Linked DNA regions of Drosophila melanogaster. The protein of the gene in region 2 interacts with the protein of the main gene of each other region in a pairwise test. Each region holds a gene or a part of one and is shown on either strand. Other genes may lie near its edges. The genes, in order: Uro, Rbpn-5, CG15728 and Exo84.

What was found.
Region 1: the proteins of Rbpn-5 (region 2) and Uro interact in a two-hybrid assay, tested with the Drosophila melanogaster proteins (one large-scale study listed by BioGRID).
Region 3: the proteins of Rbpn-5 (region 2) and CG15728 interact in a two-hybrid assay, tested with the Drosophila melanogaster proteins (one large-scale study listed by BioGRID).
Region 4: the proteins of Rbpn-5 (region 2) and Exo84 interact in a two-hybrid assay, tested with the Drosophila melanogaster proteins (one large-scale study listed by BioGRID).

What each region holds. Positions count from the first base shown.
Region 1 is NT_033779.5:7,778,246-7,781,915, reverse strand, and holds Uro (urate oxidase), read right to left. Parts: upstream 1,832-3,670; 5' UTR 1,799-1,831; coding exon 1,225-1,798; intron 1,156-1,224; coding exon 671-1,155; 3' UTR 501-670; downstream 1-500. Other genes in the region: CG7164 (uncharacterized protein), read right to left, coding at 1-4, 65-281. UniProt on the Drosophila melanogaster protein: Catalyzes the oxidation of uric acid to 5-hydroxyisourate, which is further processed to form (S)-allantoin.
Region 2 is NT_033778.4:21,087,868-21,092,844, forward strand, and holds Rbpn-5 (Rabaptin-5), read right to left. Parts: upstream 3,138-4,977; 5' UTR 3,060-3,137; coding exon 3,005-3,059; intron 2,945-3,004; coding exon 2,403-2,944; intron 2,348-2,402; coding exon 1,563-2,347; intron 1,499-1,562; coding exon 1,363-1,498; intron 1,305-1,362; coding exon 1,188-1,304; intron 1,125-1,187; coding exon 816-1,124; 3' UTR 519-815; downstream 1-518.
Region 3 is NC_004354.4:12,622,676-12,628,980, reverse strand, and holds CG15728 (uncharacterized protein), read right to left. Parts: upstream 4,690-6,305; 5' UTR 4,550-4,689; intron 1,889-4,549; exon of another isoform or gene 1,837-1,888; intron 1,766-1,836; 5' UTR 1,749-1,765; coding exon 1,617-1,748; intron 1,561-1,616; coding exon 1,369-1,560; intron 1,305-1,368; coding exon 732-1,304; 3' UTR 536-731; downstream 1-535. Other genes in the region: Aven (apoptosis and caspase activation inhibitor), read left to right, coding at 1-426.
Region 4 is NT_033777.3:26,049,178-26,054,214, forward strand, and holds Exo84 (exocyst 84), read right to left. Parts: upstream 3,081-5,037; 5' UTR 3,053-3,080; coding exon 3,013-3,052; intron 2,953-3,012; coding exon 2,794-2,952; intron 2,741-2,793; coding exon 2,410-2,740; intron 2,356-2,409; coding exon 1,583-2,355; intron 1,524-1,582; coding exon 994-1,523; intron 939-993; coding exon 753-938; 3' UTR 554-752; downstream 1-553. Other genes in the region: Vps2 (vacuolar protein sorting 2), read left to right, coding at 3,740-4,052, 4,113-4,570.

The DNA.
Region 1 (3,670 bases), on a different chromosome or scaffold from region 2:
ACCGCTAAGTAAATGATTGATTGGTTTTGAAAGTTTCTGGTTAGTTTTTAGCACAACAGCTTACACTTCATGGTCGAGTGAATATTGGCCACCATATTGTCGTAGGTCTTTCTGGTGTCGGGCAACAGGTAACGTCCTGGCAACTGACTCGATCTTAGCGAGGCCTTGATCCTGTCCCTCCTGGACAGCTGCGACAGCCTGGTCTTGGCGCTCTCCTCCTGTTCCCAGTCCCTTCGCAGCTGGGTGGTCAGGATGTGGTGCAAGGCCAGTCGATTGGTCATGGTCACGCTGTTTGTGGCTAAATGGTTATTTGCTAATTTCGAATTTAGATTGCGAATTTTGACTGCCAAAGTGGTCGAAAATTGTGGAATTTATTTTATATATTTTTTTTTATGAACGATGCCTCATTTTAGGATTTTAGAAAATAGTTCTGATATAATTTGGATTTATTCAGCCAAGGCAAGGGTGATCTCGAAATATGGTTTTGCAATCGATTTATTCATTTTTACACTTTATTTTTTATTAGTTTATTATTGTTTAAATAAGAAGAACGCAGCATATGATTCGTTTGCTTAAATAATTTAAAATACATATATAACTTCGCCGCATGCAATTATGAATTGGCTAAATTGATTTAGATTGATTTAGATTTACTACATCAGAGATCGATCTACAGGTGACTATTGATGTTCTTCCGGGCCAATTGGGCATAGATGGTGCCATGTGGCTTGTCCACTGGGATGAAAACTTCATTGTTGTCGCCGGGTGCAATCTTCTGGAAGGGCTTCGTATCGAAGTTGAAGTAGTGCTTGTTTGGCATGGTCATCGAAATGACCGACACCTGCGGCAGGACATCCAGGACCTGTCTTTCACTCAGATACAGGGTGTGCTGAACGGAGGGCGAGGACACGCCCACCTGCGGATCGCCAGCAAAGTTACGAATGATTATGTTTTTGACCGTTTGCCAGGCCCTGAGGAAGTCCAAGTTCTCGGTATCGGAGTACTCCCAGGAGCAATCCACCACGGTGCTAAAGATGCGATCATACTGATCTGGCAGAGATCTGAACTCATCGTTCACGAAGTTCACGAACGAGGATTGGGTCGTCTTCAGCACCCGGAGACCCTTGATGCCCGTGATGACCGTTTGTTTGGGATCTAAAACAGTAAAGGAGGTGATAATTTAGTAGTTTTAAATATTATTGCTTTAGTTATGTTTGACTTAACCTGTTCTCCTTATAACCACATCGCAGTAGTGAAGAGCGGTGGGCGTGAATATAAAAGCGTGATTGTGCAGTGATCTGTTGTCAATGGAGCTGAAGTCGCAGTTCCCTTGGACTCCGTTCTCGCACTTCCCATTGACGTTGGTCCTGGTCTCCTCCTGGCAAACTCGCTGCCAGGGATACGCCTCCACATGAACGTGCGCCTCCTCCACGTGCGAGTATTTGTTAATAAAGTGCCTGGCCAGGAGCAGAGCAAACTTCTCGGGACTTTCAATGCCATGCTTTTTCGCCAGCAAATAGACGGTGTTCTTCTGCGAATCGGTGGCCACGATGTCCGAGTTGTTGCCCTGGTAGTAATCCTTTTTGCTGTACAACTTCAGGTGAGTGCCCACCTCGAATTCCTGGATGGCGTGCACGGGTCCGTTGCGGCTGACATGCAGCACCTTGACCGCATCCTTGCCGTATCCGTGATCGGTAATCTCGTACTGATACGGCTTACCATGCTCATCCATGCCGGCGGAATTCTTTGGGGTCTGGTGGTTAGCCGCAGCTGGCTGTCTGAGGGGCGTGGCAAACATTGTGACTGCAATCACTCTCACTTTGATACTGATGATGCCATCAATTTCCTTGCCGCCTTTTATATCAGAACACCTGGATAACAACACAAATCTTTGTGTAGTTAGGGATTTTTTTTAGCGCATTTCGTAGAAAGCAAGTGGCTGGGAAATCGTATATCATCACTCTCACTTAGAGTATTAAAGGTCTAACTCAAATTACGACTAGTAGCGCTGATAATCGCGGCCTGGTGCCAAGTAAACATGACCAAGACTCAAGGCTATGTTTTCTATCTCCAAAACTTTGCATCTTGTTTACTTCACACTCATCTAACCAAATCCTTATTTTTGCAATATTACGTAGGAGATAAGTCGCAAATGCCGTTTTAACCATTAGCATCACTTTCGGGGGTAAATGAAAATTGGTAAATAATTTTTACAGATCACATCTCTGAATTTTATTCTTTTTTAAAATCTTAATTTCTCTCTTATTCACGCACGAGTCACTATTATTATTAAAACCTTGAAAATGTGTGCGTTGAAAAGATACATTTATTATTTCACAACATTGGAAAATAACAATTATTTCACCATAGAAAAAAAATATTAATTTACGTCTTAAATTTGATGTGACACTTTTGTTTATTAAATTTTAGGAGACCATTTTTAATATCCTTGATAATGGTCTTAAAAAATACACATGTTTAAGTTGAGTTTCTGGAATAATCTAATGTGACAGAATGTGTTCAGATGGATTCGACTGATCAAAAGTTTAGATATATAATTTATAGAATCGGAAACGCTTTACTTTACCAGTTACATACTGTTCAGTAAGCCTAGTATACCCTTTTAGTAAAGGGAATAAAAGGTTGGCATAGCAACTGCAGATCTGAAAGAGTGCAATTTGTAATAAAATGAAAGCTGTATTTGCAAAGAGTTTATCATTTCCGTGTGAGTCTAAACTTTTTATAAACCATTATTCTATTAAAAAACAAAACAATTTTATTATGTAGTGGGTCATAAGTACGTGTGAGCCAATCTACATATGTATATCAAAATATTTATTAACTAACCTATAAAATATAGAATGGTTTTTTCAAATACTCATAAACAGTAAATGACAATACACATATAGATACTATTATATATCACTATAAGATAGGGCGTTTAGTCTCGATTTATTAGCTGGAGGATTTAAACATACCACTTCAGCTTAGTGTTAAGTCAGTTTTATTATATGGATATAGAAAATGTCAGATGTTCTCTGCTATCTTGTGGTGGTCAAATTGCTCAGCAGCCAAATAATCTACTCTCTGCATAAAATTTCTATCTACAGAAGCTGTGGCTTAGTGCTAATCCAGTTTAATCTCATACATACTCTGGGTGAAGATATTTCAAAAGATATGTGCGCGCTTTTTTAAGATATACATTTGACATATATTTGTTTAACACGGTTTTTAGGAGCGTGCCTTGTATGCATAATGGTCTCCCACGATCCGAAATAGCTATATTCATATGTTTGTTGGCAAGTTATGTAAGTTCCGTTTTTGGTTATTGGCTTAAGATAAACTCTATGTTGGAATTGAAGTGTCATTGTTTGTTAAGCGAGAGTTTTATTTAGCAAAGATAATAATATTCGTGTTTATATAAAGGTTTTGATTTCACGGTTAAGTAAATTTGATAATAAAGTTTACTTTCGCATAAGCACGCGTCATAAAGTTATTTGGCTTAGTTTATGCATTATATTGTAGTACTCTACTGATATGATAAACTATATGATCTTGAAGATGATGATATGATTGTAAACGAGTAGAGAACCCCTGCCACATGAATCATCCCCAAAAGATGTACCGCCTGGAATTTAATCTAATGGATTGGTAGTTTTATGAAGCTTTT
Region 2 (4,977 bases):
ATCGAATTGAAATCTAGCTATCTCCCGGCGACGGGCTAATTGGGTAATCATTTTTCTATCTCTTCCGCAGACAATGTGTGCCAAAACAAGACGTAATTGCTACTCAAGTAGTGTGATTCCCCCCTCCGTGTTTGTGCGTGTGTTGTGAAGTCTGTAGTTGCTAACGTTTTTCGTTGAGTGCGGAGATTGCAGTATTAGTTTATCATTATTTGGTAGTTGAAGTGAGAGTTGTATATACTGAATTTATATGGGCATGCCCGAAATTGTTATTACGTTTTAATATTTAGCAAATACCTATACCAATCCTAGCTCCTCGCAACCAAATGAAGACACAAATACAATTGTTAACAATAATTTACAAACTCTTTTCTTAGCATTTTTAAATAAACAAGAACACAAACTTTATGTTGCATGGCTCGCCTTTGAATTAAACAACTCAATTCATTACTTTGATATCAACTCTATTGCAGGCAAAGTTGGTTCAAGTAGAGATGTGCGGCGACAAACAACAAAAATTTAATTGTTTTTAATTTGTATATTTGCTTTGAGTTAAATTCAGTTACGAAAACTTACCTACGACGAAAGCTAACATAGACAACTCATCGCTTACGTTATGTATAGGGCCAAAATAATGGAACAACAAAATCGGAAATAGACATTGGCAAATGGAAATGGGCATTGGAAAGGTTTGACCTCGGATCGTAATCGTAGTATCGGAGCACAGAAATAGAGCAATAGAGTTCAAGGAGATACCAACTAATCGTAATCGTACTTCACACATAATACACAATCACTTGGGCTTGGAGCCCAAACGCCTAGTTGGACTGCTGCTGCTGCTGCTGGCCTTGCTGCTGCTGCGGCGGCTGTCCCTGACTGAAGTAGGGTGCGGTGTTTGGCGTGAGCAGCGTGTGACAGATATCACAGACTCGGGCCACTCGCTTCCGTGGTCCAGATGGCACCGTTTTCGTTAGACACTTATCGCAGTAGATGTGGCCGCAGTGCCGGCAATGGATCTTGCGCACCATGACCGTGAAGTAGGCATTGCACGTGGGACAGTTGTTCACATCGTCATCGTCCTGCCAACGCACCTCCGTGTCGGCATGCCGCAGCTCCTCCAGCGACATCTGTGGCACAACACAATGTAATTAATTAAGTGAATAAACCATATATTTTTATATCTCACTCACCTGAAGCGTTTGAGATAGTTTGACAAAGTCCTTTTGAACAGTCTCCATGGTGGAGAGTTCCTCCTGTAGTGTTTTTATCTTCGTCTTGTAGTCTGCATTTGTTTTGGCGTACTTTTCCTGTAATGTGATCTGGTTAGCGAAGAATCAAGTGTGACAACAAAATATGATAGCTTACATTGGCCTCTTGCAGCTCAATGATCTCCACGCGACACTCGGAGAGCTGCTTGTTCAGCTCAGCCTCTTTGCGCTCCAGTTGGGTTTTGGTAGTCTCGTACGCTTGTACCGTGACCAAGTGTTCCGTCACCCGATCCCTGAAAATTCATTTAAAACGTGGGCCAAAGTGAACACCACCATAGACAAGAGGTTGTAACTTACTGCAGTGACTTAATATCTAGTTGCATTTTGCGCTTGTAGGCCCGCCTTTCATTGTTGCTCTCCTCCAGCTGGGCCCGCAAGATCTGAATCTCATCTTCAGTGCTGGTGCACTTCTGTCGCTCGTATTCGCTGCTGACGCGTGCTTGGATTAGCTCGCTTTGCTGTCGCAGTATCAGCTCCTGGAGCTCGACGACCGTGTTGGGCAGATTGATATATTGGTTGTCGATCTCCTCGGACGTGGCCAGATAGCGACCGGACAGAAAGTCGTTGTCCGCCTGCAACGTCTCCAGTTGCTTGTTGACCCGCTCTCGGTCGTCGGAGACGCGCTGGATCTGCTTAATAACCTCGTCCTTGGTCTCGAGAAACTTTTGCTGCATGTCCAGCAGTCGCTGCTCGTTGGTTTTGGCCTGGTCACGCAGGCTTTGTACTTCGCTTTTGTGGGCCTCCCGCTTTTCTTGCCACTGGTCCTCCAGATCCTTGCGCAATGCCGCCTCCTTAACCAGTGTCTCCCGGGATTCCACCAGCTGCTTTTGCAGCAGATCCACCTGTTTCTGCTGTTTGTTTATATGGGCACCCAGCTCTTCGGTCTTCTTTTCTGCCAAGCTGCACGACTCGCAGGCGCTCTCGGCGACGTCCATGGACGTGGACTTGTGCAGGGCGGATTCATCGGACGCCGACTTGGCCTGCAGTTGCTCGTCCTGTTCGCGCAGCTTCACTTTTAGTGCCTTCATCTCCTCCTGAAGCTGCTCGACAATTGAGTGCATCATCTCCGCCTCCTCAGGAGCCTGCAATATAAGCTCAGTTAATTTGATAGTTGAAAGATTAGTCCCGAAAACATACGTATTGCTTGCCATTGCCCTTGCTCGATGCCCGGGTGTCCTCGTCCTGCTGAAAGCTGCTGTTCAGGGAGTCGGTGCCCAGTTTACGCACAGAGCCTAGTGTCTTCTTGACCTGATTGAGCACCTGCGGCGCTATACCGCCAGATGACTCGGCCTGCGGTTGTTGAGCCATCGTCTGCTGTTGAATCTGCTGGTACTTGCCCAGCTCCAGCCTGAGCCGTTCCACCTCGCCTTTGTAGTGCGCGGTCTCCTCGATAGTGTCCTGCACCAGCTGCTGCAGCGAGGAGATCTCCTCCTGCGCCTTGAGGTCCCTCAGCTGCAGCTCGTTCTGCGACTTAAGGTCCGCCACCATTAGGTGTGTCTTCAGCTCGTCCAGCTCCGCCTGCAGCTGCCGTCGCTCCTGCTGGCTCTGGCTGACCTCCGCCTCCTTCTGGATGTACAGCTCCCGCATCTTCGCCCGCTGCGTGTTGAACTCGTTCTGCATTTTGCGCATCTCGTTCTGCAGGTGACTGAGTTTGTGCTGGCTGGTCGCGTCATCCTCACCTGCCGTTGGAGTTATGGGTTAGTTATCGGCTGTTCAGGCTTCCTGTGGTGCTGCCTTACCATTGGGCAGGTCCGTGGGTTCCCTGGCCTCTGACCGGGTCTCGTTTTCTTCCATTTTCTATATTGTGTGATGGCCAATTTATTAGTTTATATGTACATATGTGAGCGCACCAATTAGAACATATACATTTGAGCGATTTTCAACACTGCTCTTGGTGTTACCATATTTGAATAATACCGATAGTTAATACTTTAGTATTGCTTGGCAGTGCCGTTAAAAAAGGTTTTCAAAATCTAACTTTATTGAGCTTGATAAACATCTTTTGGGATTAAGTTTTCTATAGAAGTATAGAAAGTTTAAAATATTTACTTACAGATACTTGGTAAAATAGTTTTAATAATTTCCCTTCGCCAATTTGCAAATGTATTCTTATTTTATGTCCTTTTAATGTGTCCTTTTTAAGAACCCGTTTTATTAAGTTAAAAGTCGGAATCCTTTAAAATCACTCCTTTGTCCTTTTATATCTTAGTCTAAAATCTAAATCTAGATATTCCTCGAATTTTTTGTTATCATCAGCCATCAGGAACTATAAATAGAAAAAGAAAACAAATGGGTAAGGAATATAAATAAACAATACCATATAATTTAAATTTGTATAATGTTTATAATTGCATCTTAATCGTTCTTAATTATTTAGGATTTTCTTAAGCATTTCCTAGAAAGTGTTTCAACATTTGTGTGTAAGCCAAATGACAACGGCAGAATATATTAGACACAATTCTATGAAAAGGTAAATGACTGCCGATCATGAATGACTAATACCGTCAGTTCTTTTAATTTTATGCAAATTATTAAGCGCCAGAAACGCGAGAAAACGCTAAGAGCTGATAAATTATGAGAGGAAAATGAATACTTCAATAATGCCTAGCTAATGAGAAAACATATTTAAATATAACAATATAGCAAACTATTTGAGATAACAAAACTACGCGTTAACCAGAACAAAACTCGATTTCAGAATTTCGGCATCGGCTGAGGAAGCCGAAAACTTGACTAATTATAAAATTATCATGGCTGTACACTACCAGAAATTGGAAAACATTTTAGTCGATAGGTAAAAAATAATTGTACGCTGTAACTAATGTTAACTTTAAACATTTGTTAACCACCTTATAGCCAATAATATTAATTAAATCATAGCATTAGGCATTACATAGACCATTTTTTTCGTCAGTGTACGCTGAGATCCGTTGGGTCTTCTAGGTCTTGGACTTGTTGGCAGGCTTGTGAGCTCATGACTTTCGATGTCGTCATAGTCGGCAGCCGGAGATTCGTGGCCGATACAAATACTACAGCATTATGCCCAGCGACAACAGCAGCGATGTTGGCCAAAATATTTGGCGTCTGTTCAGTTCGCATTGGATTCAGGAACGAGGCGGTCGGAAGCGGGAAAAAAAAGTACGCGAAGAAATAAATACGCGGCGCCTTGGAATCGCGACGGCATTTCTACTTATAAACTTAAAAATAATACAAATATATAAGTACAACCGCCGCGATATATGTATGTGAACGGAACTTGAATAATGACCATAAAGTGCCCAATGTTTTGAGTTCCTACGGATATCAATTAGAAAATTGCAAAGCGAATCCATATAGATTCCCGGATATACCAAAAAAAAAACCGACCATGTCGCAAACCCAGAGCATAACACCCATTCCCAGCACACCGCCGCCTTCACGGCGGGCAAATCGACCGCCCAGGATCAACATCCACAATCTGACCAGCGGATCGGCAATGAGCCAGGCATCGATGCCACCCAGTGCCCAGCCACCCTATACGGCCCAAACGAACTTCACGGGCAATGGAACACAGGGACCCTACTGGCCACCAATGGCCAATCCCTTCGGATACGGCAACTTTATGACCAAGGGCTACGAGGGCTTCCTCGATATCACAAAGTCGGGCTTGAGCTTCGGCGAGAAGATGACCTTCGGCATGTACAAGTGGTCGCGCCGATGGTTCACCCACATC
Region 3 (6,305 bases), on a different chromosome or scaffold from region 2:
TACTTCACCCTGAACCTCACCCGCCTAAATGTGGGTCTGCAAACGATTCCGTTATACAAGCGTATGGATTATCCGGCGTCTTTGTTCACCCGCGCTCAGATTGCCGCCCAAGAGAAGGCCGCCGAACGGGCTGAGGCAGTTTACCAGCAGTGCATTCTGAAGGACGCCAATGGGGGCGCCAAGTCGCGAGCTCCCTCTGCTAAGTCCAATAAGGACGTTGCCCCTGCAGCGGCGGAAAAACCAATTGCTGCCTCAGCAGCTGAACCTGATGAACTTGACGAGCTATTGGCCATGACCGATACGCAACTGGATATAGGCTCTGGAACCATTACGATGCCAATGCCTATGGTGCAGCCGGCCACACCCTCATCGGCAGCAAGCAAAAACGGTGTGGAGGAATGGCTGGATTCCGTTTTGGATGAATAGTTACATAGTTCAGGAGGACTATTACCAGAGCTTTTTACGCTTACACGAAATATTCAAATCACTAAGTGCTTGCATTTTTAGAAGTAGCATCATTAAAATTGCAAAATCTAGAGTTTTCCTCGTAACTTTATAGTTAAAGCTAGAGCCTTTTTATTGTGTATAATAAAATCGTTGATTGCATATATATACGATGCGATTGTTTCTTGAAATAAGTTTCAAAGGTTAGGTTAAGTTATTGAAGATTTCAATTCTCTTCTCATCAAAGTATCTGAATTTATAACAGATTTCTTTGTTTCCGTTCGCTATTACTTACATTGTGGTCCACTTTTGCCTTGGTAACACTTAACCAAATGGCCATGCAAGAGCTGCATAAGCTCACATATGGACTCCAAAAGCACCAGGCGCTCATGCAGATGCCCCAAATCGTTGTTCTCCACCATCAGCGGACGCAGCTCATCAACGATCGCGATTAGCCAGCGAACTAATATCGAACAATCGTCCCTGGCCAGTTTCATATAATCCTCCGGCACATCGGTCTCCTGGCACAGTTGCTGGCCCTGGGCATTGAATGGTCCGATCAGCAGGATGCTGGATATCAAACGGACCACCAGGTGCAGGGAATGCAAATAGGATATTACATAAATATGCGGCTTCACCACGGCAACGACGAGCAGCAGTGTGTTAGCCGGACGCAATCGGTGCAAGTCCAGGCCCAAGTCCGACATATGATCCAACATGGCCCAGAGCAGACAGTTAGCCACAACGCTGGCCATTGTGCACAGCGGACTGGCCACGCGGCAGCCGAGGATCAGGTTGAGCATTGTGCTCGAACTCTGGATATCCAAGAGACCCAGGACATGGACGCATACCTGGTGGATCTGTTGGGCAAAGAAAGGGAAGGATCAAAAAATATATATTTCAAACATATATATGCTTACTCACATGGCTTTCCTCGGAGCATGCCATATAATTGAAGCACTTTTGCAGGAAAAGAGTTCTTTTCACCTGGGTGGCCGACGTGTCCTCATGATGGAGTAGATAAACCATCAAACCGCATACATACACCGCAGCCAGTTTATCTGCTCCGAATTGGATCCCCTCCTGGTTGAGCAGTTCATCAAAACCAGATATAATCTAACGGAACATGTGAATAAATTAGATAATGTGATTATGATATGAATATGGATCACCTCCAGAATATTGCCGGTGGCATAAATAAAGTAGCATTGTTCCCGAATCGCCGATCGACTCATAGTCTGACGCAGCTCTTCCAAACTGAATCCCTGGGGTCGCACCATGTGGCTCATGTTGTATTCTGCCATTTTATCTGAGGAAAAAGCTGGAAAAAGGGAGTTATGCATTACTTTTGAACAGGGAAAAGGCGCCTTCAAGGATTTGCTGCTGCTTCACCTTCTCCTCCTCCTTCTACAAATTAGTGACTGAAAGATATGATGTGTGCAAATAGCCAACGCTATTTTAATGAGCTCCACAACATTTTGACATGTTTTTCAAACACACTTGGCTGCCATCTTGGCCAAGCCGAGTACAGTGAAATCAGCAAGTGGGTACTTTTAATTGAAAAGTCTAGGAATTAACTATGAAGCTTTTGATTTGAATTCATGAACCTTGAACCTATGTACATCTTCCATGATTTAAAATTAATTTTTTGTAATAATATATTAAAATATTATAATTATATAGTTATGTTCATTTTTAGACAAAATACACTTTTGTGTTGAACTTCTAGTTGAATCGCATAAAATTGAAGGACTTAGAGGAGTCGCTGCTATCGGACGCTTACTGTAGTTATGATTTTTCCTGCCTGTGTGTGTGCCCGCCTTTGTTTGTGTGTATTTGTGCTTGTCCTTGCACTGCTTTCGAAAAGGCTGGCAAAATGCAAATGCACGCGCGATGTGCGCATTTTAGCATAAAAGTCACCTGGCCTCCGTTTCCGACTCCCACTTTTCCACCTGCCACGCCCATCGCCGCTTCAAGTTTCTTGCACACTTGGCGAATATCTGCTCATTATGCATTCATATTTCATATTTCGCAATTACTTGCTTTCACACACACACACACGCACGCAAACGAACTGGCGGTAAAAAGCGCAAGAGGTGCAAGCAAGATGGCCATAACAGCAGGAAACCGTTAAGTTTCTGTGTGTGTGTGTGTGTTTGTGCGTCCTTTGCTTGGTCTTTTCTTTCTGCTCTTCTGCTTTTTTATCGCCCCCTTTATTTTTTTGGGGCATTTTTTGCACAGATTCCTATTGAAATTTCCATATTCACATTTTAATTATGCGTCGGCATGAAAAGATTAACAACTTTTTTGCAATCTCTCTGTGTGTGTGTGTGTGTGTGTTATGCTCTCCTTTTTGTTTTTAATTATGCACATGTATTTGTTGATCAAATTTAAATGGCAAAGGGGTAGGCAACATATAACCCTCTCTTTCTGAACTGCTTGCAAACATAACCTCAATTTAGCTGCCACTGCTTGCGAAGCGATTGTATGCTAATCAACTGGGAACATCTATAGCATAATATGATCTATTATATCAGCGTCCAGCTAAAAATCTACGTCAAGTGTAAAAACCCAAGAATCCCCCTCTATTAAACGCAACAAAAGTGCTCAATTAGCGAGGGTTGTTCAGCAAGTTGAACGGGAAACGCAGACCAGGCCAATTACAGTCAAACATCCGTAAGTGGAAAAGATGCTTACATTTTTATTTTACTACAAGATTGAAAAGATGTTTACATTTTCCATTTGAGTATTTTTGCTCATCATAAGAAAAATTTTACTGTAGTTATTTATCTTACTTAAAAAAAAAAATGACAAGACTGGTATTATTATTTATGGAACCATCATTTGGAGGTTCAACTGTGCTAATAGATACTAACAATCATATCCGGTTCCCGTCGGATGGCGATGATAATAATAATCAAGATGGTGATGACAAGTGGCAAGTAGCTACCCTTTAATTTTTGAGGGTGGACCGAACTGATGAGCCGCTTGTGTGCGCTGTTTGTTGTAACCAATCTGTGCATTTTACGCCTAATTTAAGGCAAATTGTCCACCCCACTTGTCTCAACACTTTTGCAACCGAAAACCCTCCCCCATCCAACTAACTTTTTCATTTTTCGGTCTTCGAGGCCGCGGGGCCTGACAAAAGCCAACAGATTTTCATGTCATTATTTACTGATTTGTGGCATTTGAAAGGGAATCGGTTTTCGGGCTTAGGATTTGCGTTCTGTAACCACCCAGCGAACTTTTTGTTTACTAATGAAGTTGTTGTTTACACAATTGGAAAGTATGATGTATGTATACAAATGATAGCCACAGTGCAAGTGGAATCCAAACCGTTCCACCCACCAATTATCACGAAATGTCATCTGAGAATTAGCCACTTTTGCAAGACGCGACATAAGAAATCGAATAGACCCTTGCAAAGAAAATAAGTCTAATATTTCTGTCGGCCCTGATGATACTAAGCGAATTTCTTTCGGTAAGGTAAACATATTGATTTTCTATTAATTATATGCGTTGTGTAACTAGAAACAGTTTTAAAGAATTTGCAAGATGGGGGTAATGAAGAAAAAGTGCCCAAGTAATAAAGAATTTCATGTTTTACAGAGTTTCCTGTATGTATGTATATGTAAGTGCTGTGGCCAACTTTAACCTTTATTTAAACAGCTTAGGACTATTTTTGACCTTAAGATCAATATGCTCTAATAACTATATCATTAGCAATAAAAAAAAGATATACATAAATTTCCAAATATATAGATATAGATAGTTCTAGGAGCTTAGGAGCGTGAAAGAGAGTGATGACCTGGAAATTGCACCAAAGAAAAACTCAAAAAAGAAAGCTTTGGGATCTTTTTGATCAGTGCCAGAAGTTCAAGCGAATCCTTGAGATCAATATGCTCCTGGTGGGCACAAGCGAGAATGCTTTGAGATTCACTATATCATTAGCAATCAAACGAAAAGATACAAAAATTCTAAAATATCTAGATGCAGTTCGAGGAGCTCAGGAGTCTCATAAAGTTCATCCCCATGGATGGGGATCTCAAAGTTTATATACAAAAGGGGCAGGAATCGTAATGAATGTAATTAAAACTGGACATACCTGTACGTTTTGTATGAAATGTTTAGCTTGGCGGAAGAATACTTCACTTGTACAATGAAATTACTTCTCACTTCCTCGTCAATTATTAGCAAATTATCAAGGAGCTCACTAATATTTCAATGGGTATCTTTTTTATTCCGCTGACCACTATTCGCTTTTGCAACAAATTGCAACTGATCGATGGAAAGCCATAGTCAGTGGCTTTCCCTTAGCCATGGACTCTTAGCCAGAGGCAACCTGTATGGCTCAGTCGGGGTTCGAGGCTGAGACTGTGAGACGATTCGATTCGATTCGATCCGATTCGATTCAATCCACAGGTTCGATGGCCGCACAATGGGACACAATGCGGCAATTAGGCATAAAGATGCCAGATTTGAAATAAGCAAGTGTGGCACGGCCCGCGGCACAAACACAATTTCGGACGATTTTCCAAGCGGATAATGACAAACATTTTTAATCACAAAAACGAGACGAGAAACCACCACCGCCAATTGCAGTGGACGGGGGAAAACACAAATTTTCACACAATATGGCAAACATCTCGCAGCCATCCTCCAACCGGAAGTCAAGTGTGTCGAGTCCTTTTGCCCTGCCCATCCATGATGACATAATCGCCCCTCAACACAATCATTATGTCGAGAATTGCTGTTGCGGTTTCTCCGAACTTCACTTCTATTTTTTTTCCTTTATTTTTATATACATGCATATATATATATTTTTGTTTCTGCCCCGCGGATGGGCCACAGCAGGCTGGAATTTAAATTGAAATTGGTATATAATGGCAGGGAGTAACTGACAGTTCCTCCCCTGTGAGTAAAGTGAGTACATTCATGGCCAAAGTCAAGTGCCTTCTGTGGTAACTTTATTATTTTACAATACTTATGCGGCCCAAAACAATCATTACTTTAACAAGTCCAATTTGTTTAGATCTCAAGAATATTTATGTTGTATTTCTGACACCTTGCTATTTATTTACTTATTTATATATATATATATAATATAATTTTATGTTACGTGGGCTGCTTACCATTTTAAATGTATGAAGTAACAGAGGCAACAAATGTAAGATGGAAAGATGGAATTTGGAATTTGGAAATATAATTTAGATTTAGATTTGCTAATAGTTTTGGCTAGTCTTGAAGTTCTCGCGCCTCTTTAGTCGGCCAAACCCAAATTCATAATCACAGGCAAAAGTGCGCAGAAAAGTATGCTACACTTTTGGCACTAGCATTTTCTGTTGTTTTTTTTTCAAAGCTGCAAATTGTACGAACTCTTTAGTTTCGTAGTTTTCAGCCTGAATGCGAGCAAAAGCCGAAAAACTTTTCCCCACTCTCCCGGCTTTATTCCTTTTTTTTTTTAGTTGCAAAGTTCTCCAACGCCGAGAGCTTAATGCAATTAATAACTCATTAAATAAATACAAATCAAATTGAATGATGGCCAGCTCAAAGGAGAAGGGCTGGTGGAGCAGGAGGTGCCTTTGTGCTCAAAGGATGGCTGCGTAAAATGTACCAATTAAAAATGCCATTCAAATCTCAATGGCTGCGCAAATGAACCGCATGAATGTGAGAATTTGCGGTATCAAAAAAAAAAAAAAAAAACGCGAAGGAAACCGGTGAAAGAATCATCCATCATCTATCTGTATCTGCAAGTGGCTGGCATGATGGGGGTTAGCAGATGCATTTTATTCATTAGATTACATTCACATTTCATAGACGATTTCATGGCAACGTTAACTTGCTTGCCATCCCATTCGCCT
Region 4 (5,037 bases), on a different chromosome or scaffold from region 2:
AGTTTGTTTTATGTGAGCGGTTTTTGTAATTTAGCTGAAAAGTCAGACAGCGAATGCAACAACAAATGTAATTTTAAGTTGTCAGTTTCCTTACCTCCCAACGTCCCTCCAAACACACACCACACACACACAAACACAACATACGAAAAACACAAAACACATTTGCATAAAAGGTATATATATATATATATATATATAATTATAAATGAATATACTTAGTAAGCATTTTAGTTAAGAGTTTTACATTATAAATTAAACACGGAAACCACTTTCGAAACACTCACTCGCATTGGGGGTCAGTAGTTAGAAGCTCAGAGCAGTCCGCTTTGCTTGTATGTAATTTGAGAAAATGTGTAATGAGAAAATCGAGGAATTAATTGTGTGAATCAAACTCAACTCTTCAGAACCAAGTGTAAAATCCTATATTTTGAGCAGCTAAACCCAACACAGAGAGAGCCGCATCAACAACCGAAACCGAAAAGTAGAACACAGCTAAATTGTTTAGTGTTTAGAGTATATATATGAAAAACAGAAAACGAATCGATTTATATATATTTACAATTATATATATAATGCGAGCGGCGAAATTGTAATAAGCAAGAGATAGAGTGCAGCACACGCTTCGATTTTTAATTTTACAAATATTATTATTATTGTGGTTATATATGTATATAATTATATTATAAATAATTGAAGCAAAACGAAAAAATAAAAAATTATATGTAATCGAAAGTAAATCCCACGGCGTGCATCTAAAACACATCTGTGGTGTAGACGCTGCGCTGGCGCGGCACTGGAGCACCTTGCTGGCGGGACATTTTCGTGTGCAACTCGCGCAATCCCTCGCACTGGCGTCCAGAAATCTGTCGAAACTTGTCGATGGCGATGGGCAGCAGGTTGTCCACCAGAAAAATCTTGTTCTTCATTACAAAGTTGGGCTGAAAATGGCATTCTTGAAGAGAGCGGTTTTATTTAAGCTGCTTTCTAACTTACATCCACGGCCATGTCGCTGGGCGGTTTCAACGAATGCTGGGCAATGAACAGCTCCTTAAGAAGCAGTTCCAGGCTCTGCAGCAGGGTTTCGCACTTGGCCAGACAGCCGCAGTACTCGGTGAGCTGCAGGAAGTGTCTGATGAAAACCACTGTCGACTGGGTGAGATTAATCCATGTGTCGCCCGTCGCCTGGGCTCGCACATCGATACCCAAGACATCGAGCTCCAGGAGCAGACGCTTCAGGTTCGACTTGGTCTGCAAATTGTACGGCTGCCAGCTCTCCTCGGTGCGACCCACGGAGTCCAGCAGTCGCTCCTTGGATTCCTCTATGAGCGACTCGAGTGTAGTGCGCAACAGACCTTCCAAATGATAACTAATGTCCAGCCCGATCTCTGTGAGCTTTGTCGAGGGCTTGCGCACTCGCTCCACACATTTGGCCACTGACTCCAGGGAGGTTCCCTTGGTCAGGTAATGCTTTATCAGTTGGCTGGCAAAATATTGCAGCTCCGCATTGCACCAAACCACGAGCGCTGCAAGAATTAGATAGTAGTAATACTTAAATGTAGACAGAAATAGGAATGAAGCTTACCGCTAACGCACGCCGGTTGCTTCTCAAAGGCGGTGAGAAAATCACAGGCCACCTGCGTCAGGTCACAAAAGAAGAGTTCCGATATATCCGCATTATTCCTGCGCGCCTCCCGTTGCGCCACCCGCAAACTGACGGCGCAGACCTTCAGCAGAGTGGCACTCGCCTGCCGATAGCGACCCATCTCTACGAGAATCTTCAGAGGCCGCTTGGCTGCTCTCAGAGCGATCTGCAGATTGCGATTGTGACTGTTGGACAACTCCTTGAGCAGCACATTGATCAGCTTCAGCTCCTGCTGCTTCACCTTGGTTTCAATGGCGTCCGCTAGTGGCAACTTCTTTCGGTTCTCGTTTCGCAAGAAGTCCTGGGTTCGCTTTATCAGCTCCTGGGCATCCTCGAAATGCCGTTGGGCCACCAGGGTCTGAATCTCTTCACTGGCCGTGCTTAGCCACTCGGGCGTCTCATCCTCCAGGGATTTGGGCTGTCCGGGACTCTGGGGTGTGGTTTCCTTCTCCGGAGTCGAAGCTTTTGACTGCTGTTTGGCCCGAGTTGGAGGCTGTGGCGCCTGGCCCTTTTTTGGTTTCTTTTGCTGGTCAAAGCGGAAGGCCTCTTCGAGCTTCTCTATCCACTCCGTCTTCCCAGCAGCCGTGATGCTTTGATAGATCTTGGAACCATCTGGAGTAATGATATTAATGGCATTCTTAACGCCATCCAAGTCCTTAATGTTAATCACGGCTATTTTCTTGGGGTCGTACTCGGTGAGGAAATCCAAGCGCCTGAAAAATATTACTATTAGTTTTTGCTATATGCTTTAGTATAGGAAAACCTACTTATCATGCTTCACTTTGCAGACAATCAGTACATCGTTGAAGAGGAAAAAGAAGACCCTTTGAATGGGTCGATAATCATTACTGTCCAACTCGATTAGAGCTCCCTCGTTGAGGAAGGTCTTGCCTTCCAGATTGCCATTGAAGCCCTGGACCATTTCCTTGACCGCCCGCGTGGCATGGCTATTCTCCAGATCCTCCGTCGCCGTAGTGCTCTCCGCCTCCAAACTCTCTGCCTTCAGGTGACTGGAAGTCTTGCCATCCGTCATGGTGGCCAGAATATTGCGCTGCTCAATCAGAATGTGCGACAGTTGATACATTTCCGACTCGAGATCTGCGATGCGAAAATATTAACATAAATGTATATTGATATTGGGGGGCGTAAACTACGTGATATCTCCTTGGCCGTCTGTATAAACTCCATATAGTTCTTTTTGCATGTTTGCTTGAGCGTTGCTGCCGTCGTTTCGTTGTAGGCCTCGATTTCCTTTTTTCGCTGCTGCAAATCGCTGCCACCCACACATTCTCGTGTCAGGTCCTTGGTATCTGGGAACGTTGTACTTATTAGTAGACTGATTAATGCTAAATAGACATAGGAATACTTACATTTCTCAACGCTAAAATTAAAATCGTCGAACTCCTTCATGATTCTGATTGGAATGTAAACTGCAGCTGACGCAGAGCCATTCACAACGAACGAGCGTCATCATGAGGTGTCGATTGTAAGGTTGCTGATGCTATAGAAAATGCCATGTTTTCACTGCAGTTTTCCCTGGTATTAGATAAATCTATAAATCTAGAACATTTTTATTTAGTTTTAAGTAATAGGAGATTAATTAAGATTTAAAACCTATGAAAAGTTTTATTCGAACTGAACGGCTACGTCAAAGACCTTTTAGAGATCAACAAATTTATTCGCATTTACATTTCGGATTTTCATCTTAGGTATGATTAGGCGTTGAAGCCCTGAATACTTTTTATTCGAACTGAACTTTTAAATATAAACGACTACGTCAAAGATCTACGTTAAAAATCAAGAAGACATATGTCTATATGTATACTATTCATTACAATGTGTGTGTGTTGTATTGTAATAAATTAAAATTATTTTCCACCTGTTGCTAATTCACTAAGTTGAAGTGTGAACAGTTCTTTCAGAGTGCACCGGCAAAGCTTCTTCTTCCCACTAGCACTATTCGCATGTAAGCGCCAACACGTCTTGGCCACCTTAGAATCGCGCACACCCTTCGCTTATTGTTTTGGTTGATGAGTAATCTTTAGGAAACTCCGTCATTCTTCGTAATTAAATCTTGCAGTTAAGATATCCTTAAACATGGACTGGCTATTCGGCAAGAAGATCAGCCCCGATGAGATGCTGCGTAAGAATCAGCGGGCGCTCAACAAAGCGATGCGAGATCTGGACCGCGAGCGGATGAAAATGGAGCAGCAGGAGAAGAAGATTATCGCGGATATCAAGAAGATGGCCAAGGAGGGTCAAATGGATGCCGTGAAGATCATGGCCAAGGATCTGGTGCGCACGCGGCGGTATGCCAAGAAGTTCATGCTGATGAAGGCAAACATCCAGGCGGTGTCCCTCAAAATTCAGACGCTCAAGTCGCAGAACACAATGGCACAGGCCATGAAAGGTAAACATTGGCTATTTGGCTGATTCACCCGCTTATCAAGCAATTATGCTTATCTTCCAGGTGTCACGAAGGCCATGCAGAACATGAACCGCCAGCTGAATCTCCCGCAAATCCAGAAGATCCTGCAGGACTTCGAGAAACAGTCGGAAATGATGGACATGAAGGAGGAGATGATCAACGATGCCATCGATGACGCCATGGAGGACGAGGGCGACGAGGAGGAGACGGATGCTGTTGTGTCCCAGGTGCTGGACGAACTGGGTCTGCAATTGGGCGAACAGCTGGGAGACCTTCCTTCCGCCTCCGGTTCCCTTTCCATAGCCGGCGGCGCTGGCGCTCAGAAAGCACAGGCTGTGGCCGCTGGTGGCGTTGGCGGCGGTGGAGCCGCCGGCGGAGGTGGAGCTAGTGGTGGCGGCGCTGGTGGTCCGGGAGCTCCCGGTGGCAGTGGTGCCTCATCGCCCATGTCCGATGCCGATGCGGATCTTCAGGCGCGCCTGGATAAGCTGCGCAAGGATTGAGCCGCTACTAAGAACCACTGCCTGTCCACTTTATGTAAGAGCCACCACCCGTTTGTATCTCCCAGAAGCGAATGTTATATTAAAGAGAATGCTTGTGATTTTCGTTCCCTGCGTGTTTGAAAAATCGATGAGTAATTAGCATTTACAAGCTATAATGGAAAGAACTGGGTAGTGCTGCAATCGCACAGCCTAGCTACAAACAAATTCGCAATACTTGTTACTTTAGAGCTATACAATATTCGGTATTTTAAAAGATATGTACGTTTCATGCCTGTCTTCAATAAAATAAGAAAAAGGAATTTCCAAATCATGAAATTATATATATATGTATATACATATATTCAGCTTTAACTATAAATGCAAAATTGTGTTTATCTGAATAAAAAGAAGTACTTTCCTAAATTTGTACTATTGGGTACTATAGAAATATGTAAAACACTTGAAAAATGAAAATCACATAGCACTTG